Styela clava: one gene and its partners. The protein of the gene in region 3 interacts with the protein of the main gene of each other region in a biochemical or structural test. Links are inferred from orthologs where the notes say so. Each region holds a gene or a part of one and is shown on either strand. Other genes may lie near its edges.

Region 1 (8,096 bases), on a different chromosome or scaffold from region 3:
TCCTCGATATAAATTCACTGGGAGATCTTGTTCTTTCTTTTGTCAACAATGCCATTTACAAAGGCTAACAGTATCAAATGCGTTTGACTGATCTTGATTATAATTCTTCTGTACAGCAAAGACTTGTTGAAAAACTTGAAGCAAGAGGTAGTGACAAAACTGTAACTACAGAACAAATTAAGTCTCTTACCGACGTGATATCAGTGGAAAAAATTGCTGCAATCAAAGCTAAAATTATGATGAGGAAAAGAAACTATCATTCAAGTCAGTGAACTAGAAGAGGTATTTGGTTAGTTTATTTATCTTTAAATTACAACGCCTTTAGTTTATTGGGACTTGTTTTGGATAAAAAATTTTGTATGATATTGAATAGTTGTATATCAGTATTTTACCTCAAATCCTCTTTGTTGACGTATGCAGTTATTAATTGCACTTGATTCATACCGATAGCTTATTGCTATTAGTTATCTTTATTGTAATTCATGAATCAGTTAGTCATACTTTGTTATGTTAGCAGTTGAGGCATTATAGGCAGCTGTGATGTCATCGCAGGTTACACAACTAACATTGTATTACTGCTCTGCTCTACATTATTGATCTGATCTACACTTTTTCTTTAAATTCTAGTCTTATTTGTAGTTTTTGTTTGTGAAATAGGCGCTTCATGGCTGTATTTTTTGTTTCATTATATTATACAAATATGTTATACTTCAACAATACCTGGGTCATGTGCTAGAGCATTATCTACTTTTGTCTAGCTATTGATAATGTAAACGGATTTTCAGTGGAAACCTTGATAAAGTTGGCGATATGTGAAAAAGATTCATTTCTCCTCAACTTTTTTCTATTCTTTTTTGTATGCCGTATTTATGCACCATTTGCACTAAACAAGGCTATACACAATGAGCCACTACTAAATAAGGGACAACTATAGTTAGAAACGGCCTGAATTTTTATGGTTTGTCATCGTCTAACTAATTTTGTACACCTAAGATTTTAACCTGCAATGCGATGCCATGGTTAAGTCTAACACTTTAACCACTAGGCCAGCGCGCCACCAAAAACAACATACCATTTTCAATCTGCATGATCAAATATACATTGAATTTTCAGGAGTCACAGCTCAAGATGGAGGATTTGCAGAAAAACCAGAATCTTTTGACTTGACGTCTGAAATTGTATCAAGGGAAAGAAGATGAAGAAGGTCAGGCCATAAATCCAGGTACAAATAATACGGGAGTCACTTGGCTAGTCCCCGAACTTGTGATTGAACTGAAATAAAGACAATTTGGATAAAATTATGGCCTAGCCTGGTACACATATTACGTTCCAGTGTCCGCCATCTTTTTTCACATATAGCTCCCTTTGATAGCTCCCAGATTTGCATGCAGTGATGCTAGAACGACTGTTCAGGAGCGATTCAAGTTACGGTAAATACTTCAAGGGTGAAAAGATTAAAATAAATACTTGATCTCAGAGAAGTCATACGTGTACCTTCTTGCATGAAGCAATTTCAAACTAAGAGCAAATGAAGAAATTGAATATGGATTTATGCATAAAATATCCAAGTTATATAATATTATTCCTTTATTTGAATTATTTTCACAGAATCACAGTGTTATACTTTTTTAGGTTTCTGGAGCCGTGCTTCCGTTTCAAATCTTCCTTACAGTTACACTTTCTCATTCTTTAAAGGCGTTGAAATTCGGTTAAAAATTTAAAAATTACGATTTCAAATTCTAGCATTTCATTAGGCTATATATATATATCGACTTGGTCAATTGATTATTTGATTATACAATAATTTTGATTTTGGATAATTTTTATTTTTTGTACTTAAGCGACGGATTTTAAAATCATTCGTTTTGATTGGCTGTCTAATACTGAACTTACAAATAGCACGCCTACTGCTTTCAAATTTTTTTCTTGAACACTGTTTCCCTCCACCATCTTTCTCACAAAGACTTCTTGTGATTGTTACGCTTTCATTTTTTGTGTTTTTTCTTTATAGCCTCTTTCGAGTTGTGGTAAAATTTGGCAGAGAATATGGTTTATTACACACTTAAGGAGTTATTTGTAAGCACAAACATTTCGATTTAATTTTGGCAAAAATATTGCAGCCTACTTCAGGGGTCTCTAACACGCAGCCCTGAAAGCAATTTTTTGCGGCCTGCGCCGTCGTTGAGATTTTTCCAGAAAAAAACTAAAATAGGACAATGTCAACTATGAGTTTTATCGTATTCATATTTATTCTATTGTAATAATTAAATGGTTAATTCAATAATTTTCATTTCGTTTTTATTATGACGAAATAAATAAGTTTCGGTCAGATCATTGAAGTGTGTATTTATGAATGATTAATTCTGCATATGCGCAGTTAACGCAAAACTAGATTAAGACCAACATTTTTAATAAAGTAGTAAACCCATAGGCAATTTCTAATAAGCGTAAATGTTCGGAAGAGCACAGAATAATTTAAGAGAATTGGGAGAATCTGTATTTTGTGTGAAATTATAACAAGGTTCGGTGTCTCATCTGTTGTGCAATTATTGCTGTTTGAAAATAATACAACATTCGACGACTATACGGCTCATTACACAGGGAAAAATACCATGTGTATACTGGAACAATTCGTCACGAAAAGGTACGGCAATTAAAATTTTCACTGATGAAACAGAAATTTTTTCTCTACAAACAAAACGTGTGAAGATTCGGTGAAAGTTTGCTTTGCCATAAGTGAGATGATTGCGAAATCGTCTCGTCCTTTGGTTGAAGGAAATCGGCCTTTTGCATACGACTATAGCAAACCAACACAATATAAGCCCAACGTCGAGTCTCTCGGCGCTACAAACAAAATATCCAGTAGGACTACAAGTAATGAATATGCTTCATGTCTGGTTTGGTGTAAGATTCAAGTGTAATTTCAACAAATATCTTCAGATTTCTTTCGTATATCAATTTTGGGACCTCCTGAAGTATGCGCACGAAGATGGCGCACAACCTGAACTCAGGTTAGTGTTCAGGTTATGCGACATTTTCACCATTTTCTGATTCTTATATATCAGAGAGAGAGTGATGCCTAACGCTTAGTACGATGCGCCACACCATCGAGATCTCTTGTTATGCTTCGTAGTAGGCTACATTAACTCAGGGACCAAATGTATTATATAAAAGCACGCCACGGTTTTTATTAAGATAGTGGGAGAGACAAGGATAACAGAATATATTCGTAAGATATTGTAGCGTTATGACGATCAAGTTGGCAATAATATTGTCACGGTAGAAGTTGTTGCTACAGTGGTTGAAGATGAATCAGAAGACTCAAGGGTTCCGGATTGGTTGTTTATTGTATGGCAACTTCGCAATATAAACTTAACAAAAGAACGCAACCGACCTCCAGCACGACGGTCGGAGAAGGAAAGCGGAAGACACAGTTTTTCTCCTAATTATGTGTAATGAGTGGTCGGAGTCCAAATCCGACAAAACAAGGGTCAACATAACTGTTTATAAACACAAAATATATATACCACTGATATACACACACAATATCTATATGCTCATTGACATATGCTTCCTCCACCACCAAGTCCATGCTTCCGAAAACAAACAATACAGTAAAAACTAATCCCATACCAGACTTGGAATGGTAACCGGACGAGAGGCCGTGGTTCGCCATATGGATAAGCCGTCTTATCGGCTTTCCTCTCCCCCGGGATAAATATGTAAATCCTATCCTAAATCCTATCCTATATGTTAATTGTGTGCTGTGTGTATTGATACTGAGGTAGGTATTTGAATATATTAGTTATAAATGGTGTGAGCAAGGACAAAAGAATTTTTTCCACAGGATTCCTTCAGAATGTGAGATTTATCATAATCAGTCGATAATGGCGATGTAGCCTGAAAAACAAGAAAACAATCTGCGAGTAGGTGTTTAAATGAATGATTATCTGGAAACATGGTGTCCTCTTATTTATTTAGAGATGAATGAAAATGTTACCACCGGATTCTGTGTTCAACCTGTTCACTGCACTGTATTTCCAAAAAATATGCAATTATTGTTTTGTGGCAATGCCAATAAATCTCTCTCCCAGCTGCAAAGAGTATGTTGGCTCAAAGCGTATATATATAATGGACCTTTCCCCAACCTTTGACCCCCGACAAATTCTTCCTATACTTTACCAAAATTTTCGGGGCTATTTTAAGAGTGCTTTTGCGAAATGCCGCTTGTAAAATGGGGTATGTGTTTCGAACCAGCATTATGATTCATCGCATACAATAATCTGTATTTTTAAAAGTACCGGTAGAGAATTTTAGCCCAGTCTATCACAGCTATTTCTACACTAATATTTCATTACTGCAATTGAATTGAAACTCCCAGGAAGAAGAGTGATCATTGAATTATCTGATTTATATTTAAGTTTCCGAAACACAACTGAAAACTAGCGAATAGAGTTCAGAAACACGAAAACGAGGTAATGTTCACGACCACGTTTGAAAATCTGTCTGAGCGGATGCTAAGAGGGAACATTGTTACGTCACTTTTTGAATCTTGCTGATTAGCCAATGTCCCGAAGTAAAGAAGGAAGTCGATGCTTGGGAAAAGGTCCATACTGGCTGGGTTTCCTCTGTTTTGCATACCGGTAGCCGTCTCCAAGTTTTTTGCGGTATCTCACATTGCTGTCTTGGCTTGTTATTATTAATGCGGTTTTTACCGGTATCTCACATTGCTGTCTTGGCTTGTTATTATTAATGCGGTTTTGTTAAAGTGAATATAGTCACTTTGGTTTTGTTAGAAACGGACATCTGCCAGAATGTACGGTACCGGTCTACCTGAAGTGTTGCTGCGCGAGTGCAAAGTGACTATCGTATCGACTGGACCTAAACACAGAAACAGGATCGGTCGTTGCTGTTTTGCGAGCTTTTTTGTGGTACCGGTACCGTACTTTTCTGGTTTACACTAGTTCAGTAATTACAGAATTAGATACCGCAGTAGACTACGGTACCGTTACCGGTAGGTTTTCACAAATAATAAAGTACGGTACTGTTTGCACTTGTAAGACTTGTAGTAACTTTTATGTCAATTTGTTAGAGAGTTTAGTTAGTTACGGTAACTGTTTAATTAGTTAACTGTCAAAATGGCGGATGCACTCAGCCTTCTACGAGAGTACAATATGGCGAAGAAGAAGATTGAAGAACATGATGGCTATATCACGTTCGGAGACTTCTCATGGCCCAAAAATATAAAAACTAATTATCCAATTTGGGGGTGAGTGACTTGTTTATGATTTTTCAATATTCTGCATAATAAATTTCAAAATGCTTGATTGATTAGTTTAATTTTGTATTTTATTAATCTCTAATGTTAAAATTCCATGTACATTTATTGGAGCTCGAAACTATATTATATATACTTATAAATTGTTGTTCATGAATTTCTTTTTTCAATTCCTTTTCAATTATTTTATTTTCACGAGAGTGTTTAATGGTGTATTGCAGGGGTCGGCAACCTTTTGAACTCCGCGTGCCATTTTATGAATAATGAGCACCTTCGCGTGCCAAACATTTTTATGTGTTTGGTTTGCATAATCAACTACCTGATTTGAATAGTCGGAATCGGCTCAATTATTATTATTTATCGCCTCAAAATCCCTGCGGCTTTTTCGACGGATAATATATAATGATTTTTCTGTTGTGCAAAGCAATCAATCCATGACCGATACGGCCATATTTATAATGTCATGCTATATTATAATTTACTCGTATTCAATTTAACCTGCAGTTGCGTCGACAATATAAACGCATTCGCATCACTACCCTAAAATACCACATCAATCCGCGGACATAAAAATGTGTGGTAAACTTCCTGGTTATATCTAGTTTTGATCCGTATTTTACCAATTTTGCGAATTCGACAAATCTGAGCTGTACTTGCAAAAATGACTCCGTTCTATCGCAATGCTGCCACTCAGATTTTGTTTTTGATGATGAAACCGTTAGAAAAATCCCTAAATCTGCTATAAAAGCTCACAGAGTAAAATTTATTTTGGTACAATAAAAATTGATTGAATATACTTTAATTAATTATCTTATATCTCAACACGACTCGATCGGGAAAAAGTCACGTTTCCAACCTTATAATATGAAATGTATAATATTAACACGAAAATTCCCGACGGCAATTTAAAGTAATTGATAAAAAGGTAAATCCGCGCAACATTTAACCGTGTTTCTATTCTAATGGCCGCTCAAACTTATGTGTGCAATAGGCACACGAAATTTTACAATGCCTAAAGAAGCAGTTTTAATCTGTCACGGGCCTCGTACAACAAATTATTTACGGTTCTATTTTTAGTATTTTATATTGCCGCTTTTCAATAAAAAAATTTGCGTCGCTGCTCCACTCCTTTTAGACTTAAAGCAACTCGCTGCCGATTATTGTATAATAACTCTCAGCCAATTCACAATTCTGGGCGAATACAAAAATAAAATAGTTATTATCGTTGACGTGAAATACTTTTTGTGATTCTGGGAGAATAAACACCGACTTAAAAGTGTTTACGGTCAGAATAACACGTCACGCTGACAAAAATAATTGGCGATTTTAGCAAAAAGCTGTACGAATCGCCCAAAAGTATGAATTGATGAAATAATATTCAATATTTCACGATTATCAAAGGGCAAAAAGTAACCCAACAATAGTATAAAAAGTTGCTAGTAGGTGAACGAGTAGTTTCAGGTAGCGAAGCGTTTCTGAAGTAGCCAAATCTGGCACCGCTGCACCGCATATGCTTATCTACACTGAATTCCCGTACAGATTTAGGCCTCTGATCCATCGCTTTTCCGAAAGTAACGAAAAGTGGCAACAATTTCGGCAGTTTAACATCACATGTTTTTTCAAAGGATTTGTCGAATTGTTAATTTTTGTTCAAATGTAGAATTTTGGTCGAACTACTAAAATAAATATCTGATCTGCATCAAATCACTTGGCGTGCAATGAGAAATCCTCTCACGTGCCAGGGGTTGCCGACCCCTGGTGTATTGCTTGCATCATTCATTTCCATACTTCATTGATCTGCATAACTGACGCTTTTAGGCATATGTTTTTTATACTCATATAGAATAAGTAGCCGTAAAATATGAATATATTATGAAGAATGTCTACTATTTCTTCTAAAAATGACATTTATTCACATGATTGTCTCATTATTTTAATAGCATTGTTAATTTTTAGTAAGAAAAGTATGCTTCAATTATTGCATATCAGAGTGGGGATAGCTATTTATCATATATTAGTTGTGTATTATTAAATTCTCATTTTGTATTCTATTGGCAATATACAAATTCTCAAAATTTCTCATTATTTTCTGCCTTATCAGAACTGGTAAGGATGGAAATGCAAAGGAATATTACACTTTGGACTCAATCCTCTTTCTTCTGAAGAATATTAAATTGTCACATCCCCTGTACGTACGTCATGCTGCTGCAGAAGATATTCCTGTTGTCCGAAGACCAGACAGAAAAGATCTTCTCAGTTACCTGGATGGAGAAATTTGTAATTGTTATTTTTTCACATTATCTATCGGTTTGAAAAAAAAAAATTCCAGGAATATTCATACATAACAATTCAATTTTTGCTGCTAGTCAAAATTATTTAAATCGTCTTAATTCGTAGATTGATTACGCTCAGTAAAACCTTTGGTTCTGATATGAATAAGCCATCTTATCGACTTTCCTCACTCTGGGATAGATGTGATAATTCTATGCTTTTACATTATGGGATGTTACAATGTTAATATATCTATTATGAATAATCTAACATTCATTAAGATCTGAGACATCCTCAATGCTTAAAAAACCTAATTTTGTTATTATTCATCTCAAAACTTCTTTATAACTATACTCTCTGGTTATTTCTAGCTACATCAAATAATATCGATAAAAGTGCACCTTTGGAAATCACAATGCAGAGACCGAGCAAAGTAAAACGACCAGTTGCAAGTAGCGCTGGTACGACGGATGATGGGTCAAGTCAAGAACCCGGAGCGAAGCGTGCAAGAACAGAAGACGCAACTAAAATAATAAGAGATAGGGTA
Region 2 (7,834 bases), on a different chromosome or scaffold from region 3:
TGACGCTGCATTCCTAAACCCATCTAATGATTCAGACGCTAGCTTCTTGCTGATTTTCAAGTCTAAAAAATTAAGAAATACTTACAATCATCAAGAATAGACTCACCAATGCCAGTAAATATATTTTGTTGAGGGATCAATATAATTCTAGATATATCTTTGGTAAATCTGGATAATTGTGGACAAAATGGCAATCCTTGACGTATTGAACCAGACATTAGTCATATAGTGAGATAGAGAACGTTCTATTTATTAGATCAAATCTGCATTGAAATGTTAAAAAAGGAGACAATGAAGCTATTAACAAGCTTGGTCGAATGTCTTTCAATGTCGAAGTAAAAACTTCGTGTACGTATTTGTTAATATCGTTTAGTTTTGATTGGTTGCTGTACAATAAATGAAACGAGGAATCCAACTAACTCCCATGTTTATGAAAGGGTTGATCCGGCCCTGAATACATGCTCTGATTTCTTTTTTTATTTAGAAATTTTCAATTTGTTTCTCTCGCAAATCCGAGTAAAATTACTTGAGACAGTGTCACATTACCTAATGATGTTTTTATCATAACAAGTAGGCTATGTATCTTTCAAAATGATAGCAGTCTCTATCTATATATCGTCCCTTTGGGATTATACAAACTTCGAAGCGTGTCTCTTGTTTTGGTCTACCGCCGGTGAAATAGCCGAGTTGGGTCTGCGATGGAATGTGCGCACTACGAGCAAAAACGAAAAATTGCCTTTCTATGTCAATATAGTTTCAGTGTTAACAGCGGAACATTTGAATTTGGGCTTGGGTTGTGATTATTTATTTATTCTTGACTGTGAAAATGTGAATAAACCCCAAACTAAACGTACCCTGTCATTGTGGCATCATTTCGCTTGATTCGCGAGTTTCCTCACATGAGGACGTTTCCCTATTTCCTTGTGAAAAATAAAGCGTTTTACATTTAAAGGATGAGTCGAGTAAAAGAAGTAAACACAGACAGTACAAAGCATTGTTTATCCACTGTGGTCATTCAATTATAAAGTCTAAAATTATCAGATCTTGTACATAACTACTCTATGGACAATCTCCACCTACAATCAAGCATCCAAAGTCAACAGTTTTCAATGTGAACAGATAGCTTGAGACAAATTGTCTGTCGGAGTGATCGACACCTTTGTTGATGGTGGAATTAGCCCATCAATGTTAACAATACATAAATACTGCTGTATGGAAAAGCAATGTCGCCTCTAAAGAAGTGTCAAATGCGTGCAGATCTCATCAACGCCGACTATCGTTTTTGTTTCTTTAATATATTTACCACCCATTCGAGGAGCTAACCAGTTGCCTCTGCGTCATATTAAAACAAGAAGTCCTGAGGGAAAAAGCATTCACTTTGAATCAAGACATCAGCAACGGGAGAGTAAGCCGGTTAGAAAGCAATAAGTCAATGCAAGAAAGTTTTGTTCGGTAAGTATAACATCTTGAATACAGAATGGATTCCGCTGGAGATGCTCCTATTGTCAGAAGAAGTCCAGTTGAAGACCCGGCCCAAATCAAAGATAACGAATCAGCCAAAGCTGAATCTTTGCAAGGGTCTTTAGCAAAGTTGTCAATGGCCGAAAATGGAGACGAGGTTGTTATTGAAACCGAACCAGTACAAAAGAAAAAGAAAGGTTTAAAAGGTTTGCATTTGCCGGTTAGAGCATTTAAATCCAGAGAAGATAGAGATCCAGAAAGAGTCAATGAAGAATTAAAGGTAATACTATTCTTCTCGCTTATTCACATATCCAATCGTAGTATATAGCCTATTCATTCATTTAATACCTATTGCGCATTTAAAAGCATGAATACCTTTGAGCCTTAATTATCCAAAATCGCATTGTCCCATGATGATGGCAGTAGAATTTTTACACGTATATATCAAAAGAATATTTGGTATCGAAGCGTTTTAATATATCTTCAATTCTCATTCAAAATCGTGAATCTTCGTCGATAAGTACAGTCAAACGAGCCAATTTATCAGTTTTGGCTGGAAAGTCTTTGTAATCAAACACCGCCAATTAAGAAATCACCATTTTGAATATATATAGCCTATACTTTTGCTAATCTAAAATCTAAATATATATACTTTATATTTCAGGTTGGATTCGAAAACATCATAAATGAGCCCGAAGGTTTCTACACTCCCAAGGTATCTTGGCATCTTAGTCATGAAGTTTTTGGTTTCGGCCGAGCATGCTGTTATTCGATCACTACTTTCTTCTGTGGAATTCCTTTTGCTTTTATCTGGGGCATTATCTTCGCTTTTCTTGCTGCTGTGAACGTCTGGATATTTGCTCCATGTAGAAGAGGACACCTCATCAATATGTCATGTCTCAGTGGGTTCTGGTCGGTCTGCATTTCTACCATTTTCGATCCATTCTACAAAAGCTTCGGACTCATCTTCAGCAATTTGCGTGTCCGAACTGAGAAATTTATTGTTTAATTTTTTTATTGTTACATATGATTTGGAAAAAGACTTTGAGAAATTTTTTACATTATAAAATTCTGAAGCTTGTCGCAAACAACATTCACAAATTTTTATCGAGTAATTGAACGTTTCTGTTAGTCTAGCTGAATTCTCATGTCATTTTATTAGAATCAGCAAAATAACCGGGGTTGATATGTGATTTTAATATTATATTTGAAATTATTTTATTTTTATTCTATAACTTTCAGCAGTAACATATTCTTGTATTTTTAATAAAATCATTTACAATATATATATCCGTCAATATAGGATTTTTCTGGCAAAATAAGTGTGTGTCATTTGGGTAAATTAGTCAGATCGATGTGGAAGGAAATGAAGAATCGATGTTCACCCAATGGGCGGTTTAGGATAGTTGAGGTTGCTACAAGCGATTGAGGGCAATTCAAATGTTAGACGGCTGATGGAATGTCATTCTAGTACACATTAACGTTATTCGATGTGGTACAATCAGGAATTATCATATATATATATTATCATTTCTCTTTTACCTATGCTTGTCTAGAGTGTCGTGGCTGTACTTTTCTATTTTGGGCTTGAGATTACTGCTATTCTAAATTGCTGCAGATTGCAGATATTAATTAATGGATAAAATATTCATCCGTATGATTATAATAAAATACCTTTTTTACAATTTTTATTAATTGGGGATATAACTCCTATGGAGTTATCACTTATGAATCAGATAAGACTTTCGTGTTTGGCAAAAGTATGTCAAGTCTCAACAGGACACAATTAATTGAGCGATGAGTTCGTGTGTGTGTTAATCTTCTTGAATGTGCGATGTCGTTGCATCTTTGCTGAAGGATGCAAAATGTAGACGATACAACAAACCGAGCTCGAGTTAATGTTGAGCTTAAACGCTGTCGACAATATCCGATAGAGCCGTGTTATATATACAATATCATTAATAGTGGATTTTAATTAATATTAAATTAAAGCGCGAAAAGAATAAATAATTAATAAATATATTTACTGTGTAAGGGGAACGAATAAAAAAGCACAGCACACGTCACACTAATAGACCTGTGACATTTTACAGAATAGATGGATAGTAGAGTAAGTAGGCTATTTTAGTTCAGTTGATATCCCAATTTATGCCTACATCCCGTATTTTAACATTTTTATTTTGCAGAACTTCATCAAATTCACAGATTCTTATGCATCTGGCATATAGTAGTAAATCTGAGACTGAATTTTATTCATTGCTCAGTTAAAAACTAAATTAATAGATTGCTTTTTATTTATGTAAAATTATAAGTACCCAGTTCGCCGTACATGTATTTCATAAATGGTCATCCCATTCGATTGAATTGATCCAAGATCAAATTAATGTCGGATTAAATACTTTCATAACTTGCCACGCTATTTAGCCTTCTTATCATCTTTTCCGTCTTCCGGGTGGGTGTGAATGATTCGACAGAATGGGCGAATCGCGTTGCATTAGATGCTTCTAGACAATGTTTTTTGAGTTTAGTTTCTATGACAATGACAGCCGATTGCTATTTGGCCCTATATTCGTTCGAAGAAATGCAAGACATGGTAGAAAGTTAGTTGATGTACGAGAAACTCTATAGGTTAAAACATTTGAACCAAGTAGTATCAGATATACTCCAGAGTTTTAAAATTTAATGATCAAATCGTGCACATGCTTTAACGACCGAAAAAGTCTTTATATGGATGTACCATGCAATCATGTAGTTTGTTACTAAAAGGAAAATCCGAATACACTGTGGACCTTTTCCTTTGTTTTATTCGTAAATTTACAATTAACTAAAATCGATCAAATCGGTATTATTATAGCGATCGCCATAATCCTATATTACCCCTAAAAGCATGATTATATCGAATGCGATATTATGATACTATATATGACACAAAAGTGTATTGATTTCGTTCATTCCTATTTGTAGAGATAGTCTTGTCCAGACGTACTCGAGACAGAAAAGATGAAATAATTTGTGAAAATTTCACATTAATTGGCAAGACCTAACAATACAAAGGATAGACAATAGATTAGATACCTCTGCAGGAACAAACAATTTACCGCACCCGATATTTAAATTATTCCATAGGTAAAGTCAAAACTGCTAGCGAAGTAAGATCGCAAATAATCGCAAAAATGTCAAGATCCGAAATTAAGTTTGCTTCTCTTAAGCAGGTTTCGTTCGTTTGCGTATTTTTTTTTCGAAAACTACTTGCTTTGCACTGAACAACATGCTTGATTTCCAGTAATATTTAAAAATAATATAAGACCTTGTCAATGTTTAATGAGTTCAATATGAGGCAGGTTGAATGAATGAATGCAACTAAGTACGATATAAGAGAACATTGGCTATCACAAACGCACAATCTATTGGAGTGAGAAAAGTGGCACTTAAAAGAGAGACCAAAAGATAACATCTCTTCAGCACTCTCACTCTCTCCATGTTATTATAATGCATTAACACACTGATCGTTTTTCCCGAGACGCATCTGCGCAAACGTTTCGACAGCTGACAAGGAGATTCCATCGCCTTGATCGAGTTGCCGGTAATGTCATCAGTGGGTTCGCGTCGATAGCCTCCGTACAATATATAAATACGTTTGTCGGACTAAGACCTCGGAATGGATTCTGGTAACTTGAGTGGTTCCCGTAAATCTTTGGAAAGAAAATCGGAGATAGAAATGATGCCCGTTGATAGTCAAAGATCTGGAGGTGCAGATCCAAACTTCAGTCAAAGATCTGGACCACAATCAATGAACGAAAGCCAAAGATCTGAGGGAGACCCAGTTAGCATGCATATCGATGATGCTGGTATGGAATCCATCGAAATGGATGACGGAGTTAACGTAGATCAGCCAACGTCAAAACAGCCTTCAGAAAAAGCGGATTCTATCGACTACGACAATAGAGATCCCAACAATATTCACGAGGATGTGAAGGTATGTTAAACGCTATCTATATTTAATTATAGATTTTGTTATCAAAGCTCTCATACCAGAGTGGAACTTGGTTATTGAAGGTATTAAAAAGGATTAACTAATGCTGAAATTCAAAATTTATTGACCGTTTATTGGATCGTAAACGTAATTATTCAAAAAATAAAACATTTATGGTTTTATTTTTTCATAATAAGAACAACAAAAAGTTGATTACACGAAAATGACTCCTCATTCTTGTTGTTGTATATATGCAATTTAGGTAATGCTCGACACTATTGTAAAAATAAAATTCTTTTTGGTGAAATTACTGAGATTACTCCTGAGCATTAACTATAGTGGCATGAGATATCGCTTATCTGATCTAGATAATCTTTATTACATTTTATTTCCATGTACGCCATATTGATCGCAATGTCGTTCATAAATGACAATGGAACGTGATAAACTGCAAATATGCGTGCACTAACGATCACTAAACCAAAGTGCTGTATATGCAAACTAAGCTTTATTTGAACTGGCAGCTTTATTTCTTTATAGTACTTTGTTAGCTACTTACATCTTTTAAAAAGACATTTGTTCACTTTTACGAAGGTTAATTTTGCCGACATTATCGCGGAACCATCCGGAGCTCACAGTTTCGAGACTGTATGGGGAACAAGCTACAAGGTCTATTCACTTACAAAATATTGGATCTACCAAGTCATGTCGTTAATTTTTGGAATCCCAATCTCATTATTTTGGGGTATCTACTTCTCGTGTCTCGCTTTCTGCAGCGTATGGTGCATCACGCCATGCATTCGTTCATTCATCATCAAGGTAATATTATTATCCGAACTTGTAGAATTGTTGCAAACATTTTTTCATTTCGTGATAGTATTTCTGAAAATGATGAAAATGTAGTTTTCTTTGATTTGACTATTGCTGAAGTAACATACTGTACTTTAATAAATATGATTATCTTTTATACTAAAGCTTTCATACTAAAATAATATAAATGGGTGTTACACCACAAGCATGACGTAGATTTCAAATATCTATCTGAGGATATTTCGTAACGAATTTATCGTTCTGTGCAACAATAGTTTGCAGTTGAATTGTGAATTTGATATTTTAGTCTGTATTTTCTCTATATCATTATTTAAACCCAGCGTTGCCAAACACGTGACATTGTTACGTTATCACCTGAAAACAATATAAAAATGCATTTTAATCGGTGCTATGATAATATTCTTTTTTATATATTTCAGATTGGTTTCGTTGGAAAATTATGGGGAGCTTGCGTTGGTACAGTATTGGATCCTTGTTTCGAGTCTATTGGCCTGGTTTTGAGTCGAGTCCGAGTTGCAATGACAGTGCGAAAAGAATAATACACATTTTACCCTATATCACAATTTCCTCACAATGTTATATAAATCTTCAATTAGTCATGGAACATTATTTTCTAATAAACCTACGTTTTGATACCTAAACAATATTCAGATTTGATTTGATGAAAGCTATTTCTTTACAAAAAATTCATACTCAATGATTTGCTGAATTTAATCAAATTTTAAAGTTAATTCCCTTCTTAAAACAGTGTCATCATACGTTTACGTTGAATAATCATGTAATTTTCGATAAAACTATTATTAGTATTTTATCAATTTTATATTTTCATACGGTATTTGAATTAAATTAAATTGATATTTGCTAATTTCAAATTACTGATATGGAAACATGACAAGACAACGATTTGAATCTTCAATCCTGCACACCAAATATTGTAGATCGACTTTTTTTATTTCATTCATTCAAGGCACTTTTCCTTTATGTAAACTTACTAAAAATTTATCTTTTCAAATATAAAATTTTTTCAATCTCACATGAAAAGTTGGGAGTTTTTTAGATTTATTGGTATGCTGAAAGAGTAGTATGTAGAATGTTGACGTATCCTATCTCAGTATTCTAGAGTACAACGAAAAAGCAATTAATTTTTATATTCGTGTCTGTGTAGGAATGCATACACAGAGCATCATCAAATTGGGGGGTCAAAAACAGTGAGACTCGAAAATTTTAACACGAGTGAAATAAAAGAAATTTCGAAGGAAATAAGCTGTCAGTAAGATGTCATTCATAATGCAAATATCAAAAGATAGCGTCATATTACCCACAGGGAGCGTGTAGCCGTTGCTAAATACGCTGTGACCCGTGTTTATTGTTATGAGCAAAGCCAATATGGGATATTGAAAGCAGAGTAACTAGACCTCAGATCAGACACGAGCCATACTGGTCTGACGTGGCCTGTCAGATGTTTGAACTTGGCTTGAGGCATGAAAAGACCATGTAAGGGATATATTTCAGACAACGCGCACGTAAAATATATGAATTTAAACCGTGACGACGATGAAAATATCCATA
Region 3 (6,961 bases):
ATCTAGAAAATTCCGCCATTTGAAATTTCATTCCACTCTACTAAATTAAACTCGAACCTCCAAGGTGCTTTTAGTTTCGTAGCAGGAATTTTCAAGGAAAAAATTTAATATAGCATATAGCCATATACTGTACTGTACTATATACTTTTTTTCCGGCATTTTTACTTCTTATAATGGCCTTGACCCTATCAGTAAGATTTGAAATAGATTTGTTGTTGATTAATTGTGTGTAATGATGTTACAAGTTTTAGATCACCAGTTTTGAAACACATTTTAACTGTAATTGGGTACTAAAGTTTTAGTTTGAATATGGTAATTTCCCCTTTCAACTCCTAGTTTTAGTTGGTTATAAACAAGATTGCTAATTGGATTGTCGGACATGAAGTGGACCAATGGACCGTTTTGTCATATTGTATTTTTCTTGTTGTTGTTGTGGAAAAATCACTTTTCTCAATAACTGATGGACCAATTGCTTTGAAATTTCCAGTGGTTAAGATTAAGGATAATGTTGTCGCTAGAATATTACTTTTATTTATTTCCCAAATTACTGTGGGCTCTATGGATTTGTGTTTGTGCGGAGACGTCATTAAAATTGAAACAAAACGCACCATGTCAAGGTTCCATGATCGCATTTTAGCATCTCGTGGTCAAACTGTCTGTGCTGTAAAATATTTTATGCTTCTTCGTTTTGGCCTTCGTACCTTACAGATAGAGTCACTTAAGGTTTTTTCATATTTTTTTGGGCTGTAAAAATTGCATTAAACTATGAAAGCCACTGATCCTAGTTGAAAATCTAATCTCTGATGTTTTGTACTTACAAACAACCTTAATTGCATTTTCCATTTTGTTTTTAGATACGCTATTTCCATGGGCCGTAAAATTGGAGCTAAAATTTATGCTTTGCCTGATGATTTGTGGGAAGTAAACCAGAAGATGGTAATGACAATATTTGCTTGCCTTATGGTCCGAGCTTTGCAGCTGAAAAGTGAGGAGGGGGAAAATTGAGGACTCGAAATTTAAGACTTTCTTATTGAAGTTTTGAAGATGTGCATTCCAACAATTGTGTCAATAATTCTGTCCTTATGCAAATTTCAAGAATGTAACATCAAGTCATCAAACATTACTTTAATGTAGAGCAGCAGGTCCAGAATTCAAATTATTTTCAGTATGTTTGCTCGCATTTTTTTTTCAATAATGATTAACAGTAACATTTTCACATATTATGACAATTTTATTAAATACGTCATTGCACATTCATTTGGTTTATATCTTTCACTTTCATTTCATGCACTTGGTATTTTAGTTAATCTGGCTCTTGCTTTCACACACACACTATACTATCATATTAAAATTACACCAGAATTTAGTCCTATAACAGTAATTATCTGGCATTTTTTGGCATTAAAATCTGTTGGTAAAACTTGGCACTTATTCAAACTGTACATAAAGTAGTATCATTATACCTTGGATATATTTTAATATTAAACATAATGTTATACCGTATATAATGTACTCAGAAAATTTTTCAAAGATGAGGATTTAACCCTGTTATAACATGTATCTTAATGAAGCATTATCTTTTTTTTTTTGTAAAAATCGTTTCTGGCCACCAGGTTTATGTTGTATCCATGACTAATCCAAGTCCCGAGTATTACACATCATTTTCTGTTTGTCGCATTCACTCACTACATTCCAATCTCAGCACGGTAGGATAGGCTTTTGTTACTGCTAATATTATATGTTTTGTGTGACCAAAAAATACAATATCATACCGTTACTTTTTTCAAATATTTTATTCAAATTTTTTATCAGGATTTTTTTAGTGCAATGGTGAAATTTGAAATTAAAATCACATATTAAACTTTTTTTGGCCACTGGATTCTTTTAGAGCAATGGTAAATTTGAAATTAAAAGCACGCATTGAAATTATTTTGGCCACTCTTATTTCTATGTAGCGTACTATGCTGTAACTATCTGTCCAAATAGCAATTAAAACTTATTTTGTGAATTTATGAATAATGGTTTGTGGGATTCAGTATTAGACAATTATGCTACTACACCGAATTATGCCTTTATTACCGATTCACAATCCACAATATTAGCAATAACAATAATGCATTTTTCATATTATTCTGTTGCATCATTCCAAGTCGCTTGTAAGTTTGTTTTCACTAAAAATGCAATTTCGGTTGAGTTCAATTATTTTTGGTAAATAATTTTCGTTGAATGTTTTGATTCACGAAGTCTAATTTTGTCACTTTCAAATGAGTTTCTTGTTTAAATCGGCAAAAAGTTTTGTTAAAGTGCATTTCCTATGCAGTAAAGCTCGCTATTTAGTTTTTCACCAAATCTAATGCTCGTTAAACCACATTTTCAAATTTTAATACAAGGAGTGTGTGTGATATTGATATCAGCTATTATATACTATAACACTAATCATCCAGTTATAAATGTGTGTCATGATTCTTTATGAATTTATAGGATTACTGGGTATGGTTGAGGATATTAAATTCTCTGGTGGGTTGATGAAGCGCTGATCGAGTAAATTTTGTTTATGTAAAGATGTTCTGGTTCATAACCGTTGCAAATTGGATTTTCTTTTATGGTTTAAAAATTTGCCAATGATTAAAAAGGGGGTATTTGCACCTTTCCAGGCCATTTAGAACTAATATCTGATAAAATATTGCCATACCTTATTTAGAATGGAGAACGAACAAAAACTGTGATCTGTCGAATGGTAAACCCATGTTACCAGTCAAGATAAATGTGAAAATTTAGCTAGGCACAACCAATGTTAGGGAGGCTAAAGTCCTTGATTGGACCAGAATCGTCATTTGTCAAAGACTCGTCATCTAAATGGGAAAATTCAGATTCGTCATCTACCAACTACTAGACTCTGATTGCCCGTGAGTCGACTCTGGATTTATGGACTTGTACACAGCCAATTTATATACACTAGGACCTAGGTTACAATAAAAATCAAGTCAAGCTCTTTTCTCATAATCTGTTAATGAATGATCAAGAGCAGGAAACGAAACAATGTAACTAGAATGATCAGTTGTTCCTGTGTACACTGAAAAGGGAGTAGCAATTATATTTCTCTGCTATACGAATACGTAGTATTTTCGAACGAATTAATTATGAAATAACCATGAGAGCCATTCCATCTTTAGTACTGAATACCTGAAATCGGTTGGTTGGTCCATTAGTTGTGGAGGAATGCGATTTTTCCCAACAGCAAGGTTTAGCAACACAATATCAACGATCATCCGATGGAAACTGACTTCAAAATCAGCATTGCTGAGAGCGAATTTTAAGGAAACCGGTGTTACCAACAGGAGTGGCGGGTGTTCATTAACTCACCCTTGTCTACCACATAAATATATTGACCCGACGTCCTAACAACGATATAGCTACACGCGCACATTAGATAAAACTCTACCATTGAAAAAGAGCAAATATATTTGAAAGTAAGAGTTAAATAATGTTAGGATAGGATAGGATTTACATATTTATCCCGGGGGAGAGGAAAGCCGATAAGACGGCTTATCCATATGGCGAACCACGGCCTCTCGTCCGGTTACCATTCCTAGTCGGGTATGGGATTAGTTTTTTACTGTATTGTATATTTTCGGAAGCATGAACTTGGTGGTGGAGGAAGCCGTAACCGACCAGCGGTTACGTGAACCACCCAACGACGGCGAGGAGTCCAGCAATCCTCTCGCACATAACCATCCCTGCATGGGATTCGAACCTGCGAACCCACGCAGAGTAATTAGAGGTGCGGTGGCGAGCGTATTCCTAACGCTTAGCCCGTTGAGCCACACCGCCGCCGCGCCATGTTCGACTCCGACTCCCGGTTGACGGAGGTTTCGACTCCCGAGTAAATTAAATTTTGATGAAAACTTTTTCAGGAGACTGTTTGGAACGTTTAATAAACTTTTTTATGGTTGAAATTTACTTCTGAATGTCTGAAACTTCGATTTCAAGGCCGACTGCTGACAACATAATTTAAAATAAATGCTCCGGAGTCCCCGACTTGAATCCGGAGTCCCTCACTCACGTAAGATTGGCTGTTTACAGTACTAAACACCACTGTCATGCTAGCCAAATACCAGCCAAATATCAAACTCATATTCCCGAATTTCATATTAAAGTGTTTCCTGGTCTAACAAAATGTACTTTCTGACTTTCTACGAAAACTAATACTTTGGGACATCACGCTATCGGAGGATTTATATTCAGATGATGATTTGGGAATATTACTGTCTCTTATTATAATGATATGATATGGAAATATTGAATATTTGAAAAAAAAGTTCAATTATGTGAAAATTGAATTTTTTCATTAAAAATAGAATTATTTCAAATCTTTCCGGTCTCGAGGGCAAAGATTTGAATATACCATTGGATAGGGGACTAACATAAGAACATATTCCAACAAAAAAATTGTGGTGACACCCGACGAGTTTTCGAACTTTTTGAGGTTCGAAAATGTTCAAGTATGAAAAAATTTTACTTTTTCACAAAATATCGAATTATTTCGAATCTTTCCGGTCTCGGGGGCAAAGATTTGAATATACCATTAGATAGAAGACTAACATAGGAACATATTCCAACAAAAAAATTGTGGTCACACCCGACGAGTTTTCGAACTTTTTGAGGTTCGAAACTGTTCAAATACACAAAAATTGAACTTTTTCATAAAAAATCGAATTATTTCGAATCTTTCCGGTCTCGGGGGCAAAGATTTGAATATACCATTAGATAGAAGACTATCATAGGAACATATTCCAACAAAAAAATTGTGGTGACACCCGACGAGTTTTCGAACTTTTTGAGGTTCGAAACTGTTCAAATACACAAAAATTGAACTTTTTCATAAAAAATCGATTTATTTCGAATCTTTCCGGTCTCGGGGGCAAAGATTTGAATATACCATTGGATAGAAGACTAATATAGAAACATATTCCAACAAAAAAATTGTGGTGACATCCGACGAGTTTTCGAACTTTTTGATATTTTTTTGTTGGAATATGTTCCTATATTAGTCTTCTATTCAATGGTATATTCAAATCTTTGCCCCCAAGACCGGAAAGATTCGGAATAATTCGATATTTCATGAAAAAGTTCAATTTTTGTGTAATTGAACATTTTCGAACCTCAAAAAGTTCGAAAACTCGTCAGATGTCACCACAATTTTTTTGTTGGAATATGTTCCTATATTAGTCTTCTATCCAATGGTATATTCAAATCTTTGCCCCCAAGACCGGAAAGATTCGAAATAATTTGATTTTTTGTGGAAAAGTTCAATTTTCGCATACTTGAACATTTTCGAACCTCAAAAAGTTCGGAAACTCGTCGGATGTCACCACATTTTTTTTGTTGGAATGTGTTCCTATGTTAGTCATCTACCCAATGGTATATTCAAATCTTTGCCCCCAGGACCGGAAAAATTTGGAATAATTCGATTTTTCATGAAAAAGTTCAATTTTTGTGTATTTGAACATTTTCGAACCTCAAAAAGTTCGAAAACTCTTCGGATGACACTACAATTTTTTTGTTGAAATATATTTTTATGTTAGTCCCCTATCCAATGGTATATTCAAATCTTTGCCCCCAAGACCGGAAAGATTTGAAATAATTCGATTTTTCCTGAAAAAGTTCAATTTTTGTGTATTTGAATATTTTCGAACCTCAAAAAGTTCGAAAACTCGTAGGATGTCACCCTTTTTATTTGTTGGAATATGTTCCTATGTTAGTCCTCTATCCAATGGTATATTCAAATCTTTGCCCCCGAAACCGGAAAGATTCGAAATATTTCGATATTTTGTGAAAAAGTTCAATTTTTTCATACTTGTACATTTTCGAACCTCAAAAAGTTCGAAAACTCGTCGGATGTCACCACAATTTTTTTGTTGCAATATGTTCCTATGTTAGTCTTCTATCCAATGGTATATTCAAATCTTTGCCCCCGAGACCGGAAAGATTCGAAATAATTCGATTTTTTTATGAAAAAGTTCAATTTTTGTGTATTTGAACAGTTTCGAACCTCAAAAAGTTCGAAAACTCTTTGGATGTCACTACAATTTTTTTGTTGGAATATGTTTCTATATTAGTCTTCTTTTCAATGGTATATTCAAATCTTTGCCCCCAAGACCGGAAAGATTCGAAATAATTCGATATTTTATTAAAAAGTTCAATTTTTGTGTAATTGAACATTTTCGAACCTCAAAAAGTTCGAAAACTCGTCAGATGTCACCACAATTTTTTTGTTGGAATATGTTCCTATATTAGTCTTCTATCCAATGGTATATTCAAATCTTTGCCCCCAAGACCGGAAAGATTCGAAATGATTTGATTTTTTGTGGAAAAGTTCAATTTTCGCATACTTGAACATTTTCGAACCTCAGAAAGTTCGGAAACTCGTCGGATGTCACCACATTTTTTTTGTTGGAATGTGTTCCTATATTAGTCATCTACCCAATGGTATATTCAAATCTTTGCCCCCAGGACCGGAAAATTTTGGAATAATTCGATTTTTCATGAAAAAGTTCAATTTTTGTGTATTTGAACATTTTCGAACCTCAAAAAGTTCGAAAACTCTTCGGATGACACTACAATTTTTTTGTTGAAATATATTTTTATGTTAGTCCTCTATCCAATGGTATATTCAAATCTTTGCCCCCAAGACCGGAAAGATTCGAAATAATTCGATTTTTCCTGAAAAAGTTCAATTTTTGTGTATTTGAATATTTTCGAACCTCAAAAAGTTCGAAAACTCGTGGGATGTCACTTCAATTTTTTCGTTGGAATAAGTTCTATTAGTAGTCTTTTATCCAGTGGTGTTTTCGAATCTTTCCCCTGTGACCGAAAATATTCGAAATAGTCAAATATTTCGTATAAAATCACGGCCACACTTCGATATGACATTCGGTACAACTTTTTCAAGATTTGGCTG

What was found.
Region 1: of the proteins of tyrosine-protein phosphatase non-receptor type 11-like (region 3) and parafibromin-like, one has a biochemical effect on the other in vitro, tested with the Homo sapiens proteins (2 studies listed by BioGRID and IntAct). The link is inferred for Styela clava from reciprocal best matches to the Homo sapiens genes PTPN11 and CDC73.
Region 2: the proteins of tyrosine-protein phosphatase non-receptor type 11-like (region 3) and caveolin-1-like form a complex in vitro, tested with the Homo sapiens proteins (2 studies listed by BioGRID). The link is inferred for Styela clava from reciprocal best matches to the Homo sapiens genes PTPN11 and CAV1.

What each region holds. Positions count from the first base shown.
Region 1 is NC_135254.1:14,448,046-14,456,141, forward strand, and holds the start of parafibromin-like, read left to right. Parts: upstream 1-5,068; 5' UTR 5,069-5,138; coding exon 5,139-5,269; intron 5,270-7,379; coding exon 7,380-7,555; intron 7,556-7,920; coding exon 7,921-8,093; intron 8,094-8,096. Other genes in the region: parafibromin-like, read left to right, coding at 117-272.
Region 2 is NC_135258.1:20,350,458-20,358,291, reverse strand, and holds caveolin-1-like, read left to right. Parts: upstream 1-5,060; 5' UTR 5,061-5,119; coding exon 5,120-5,437; intron 5,438-6,028; coding exon 6,029-6,253; intron 6,254-6,684; coding exon 6,685-6,804; 3' UTR 6,805-7,306; downstream 7,307-7,834. Other genes in the region: caveolin-3-like, read left to right, coding at 1,478-1,741, 2,126-2,470. UniProt on the Homo sapiens protein: May act as a scaffolding protein within caveolar membranes. Forms a stable heterooligomeric complex with CAV2 that targets to lipid rafts and drives caveolae formation. Mediates the recruitment of CAVIN proteins (CAVIN1/2/3/4) to the caveolae.
Region 3 is NC_135256.1:10,913,330-10,920,290, forward strand, and holds the start of tyrosine-protein phosphatase non-receptor type 11-like, read left to right. Parts: upstream 1-3,851; 5' UTR 3,852-4,078; intron 4,079-6,961. Other genes in the region: plastin-2-like, read left to right, coding at 855-1,005. UniProt on the Homo sapiens protein: Acts downstream of various receptor and cytoplasmic protein tyrosine kinases to participate in the signal transduction from the cell surface to the nucleus. Positively regulates MAPK signal transduction pathway. Dephosphorylates GAB1, ARHGAP35 and EGFR.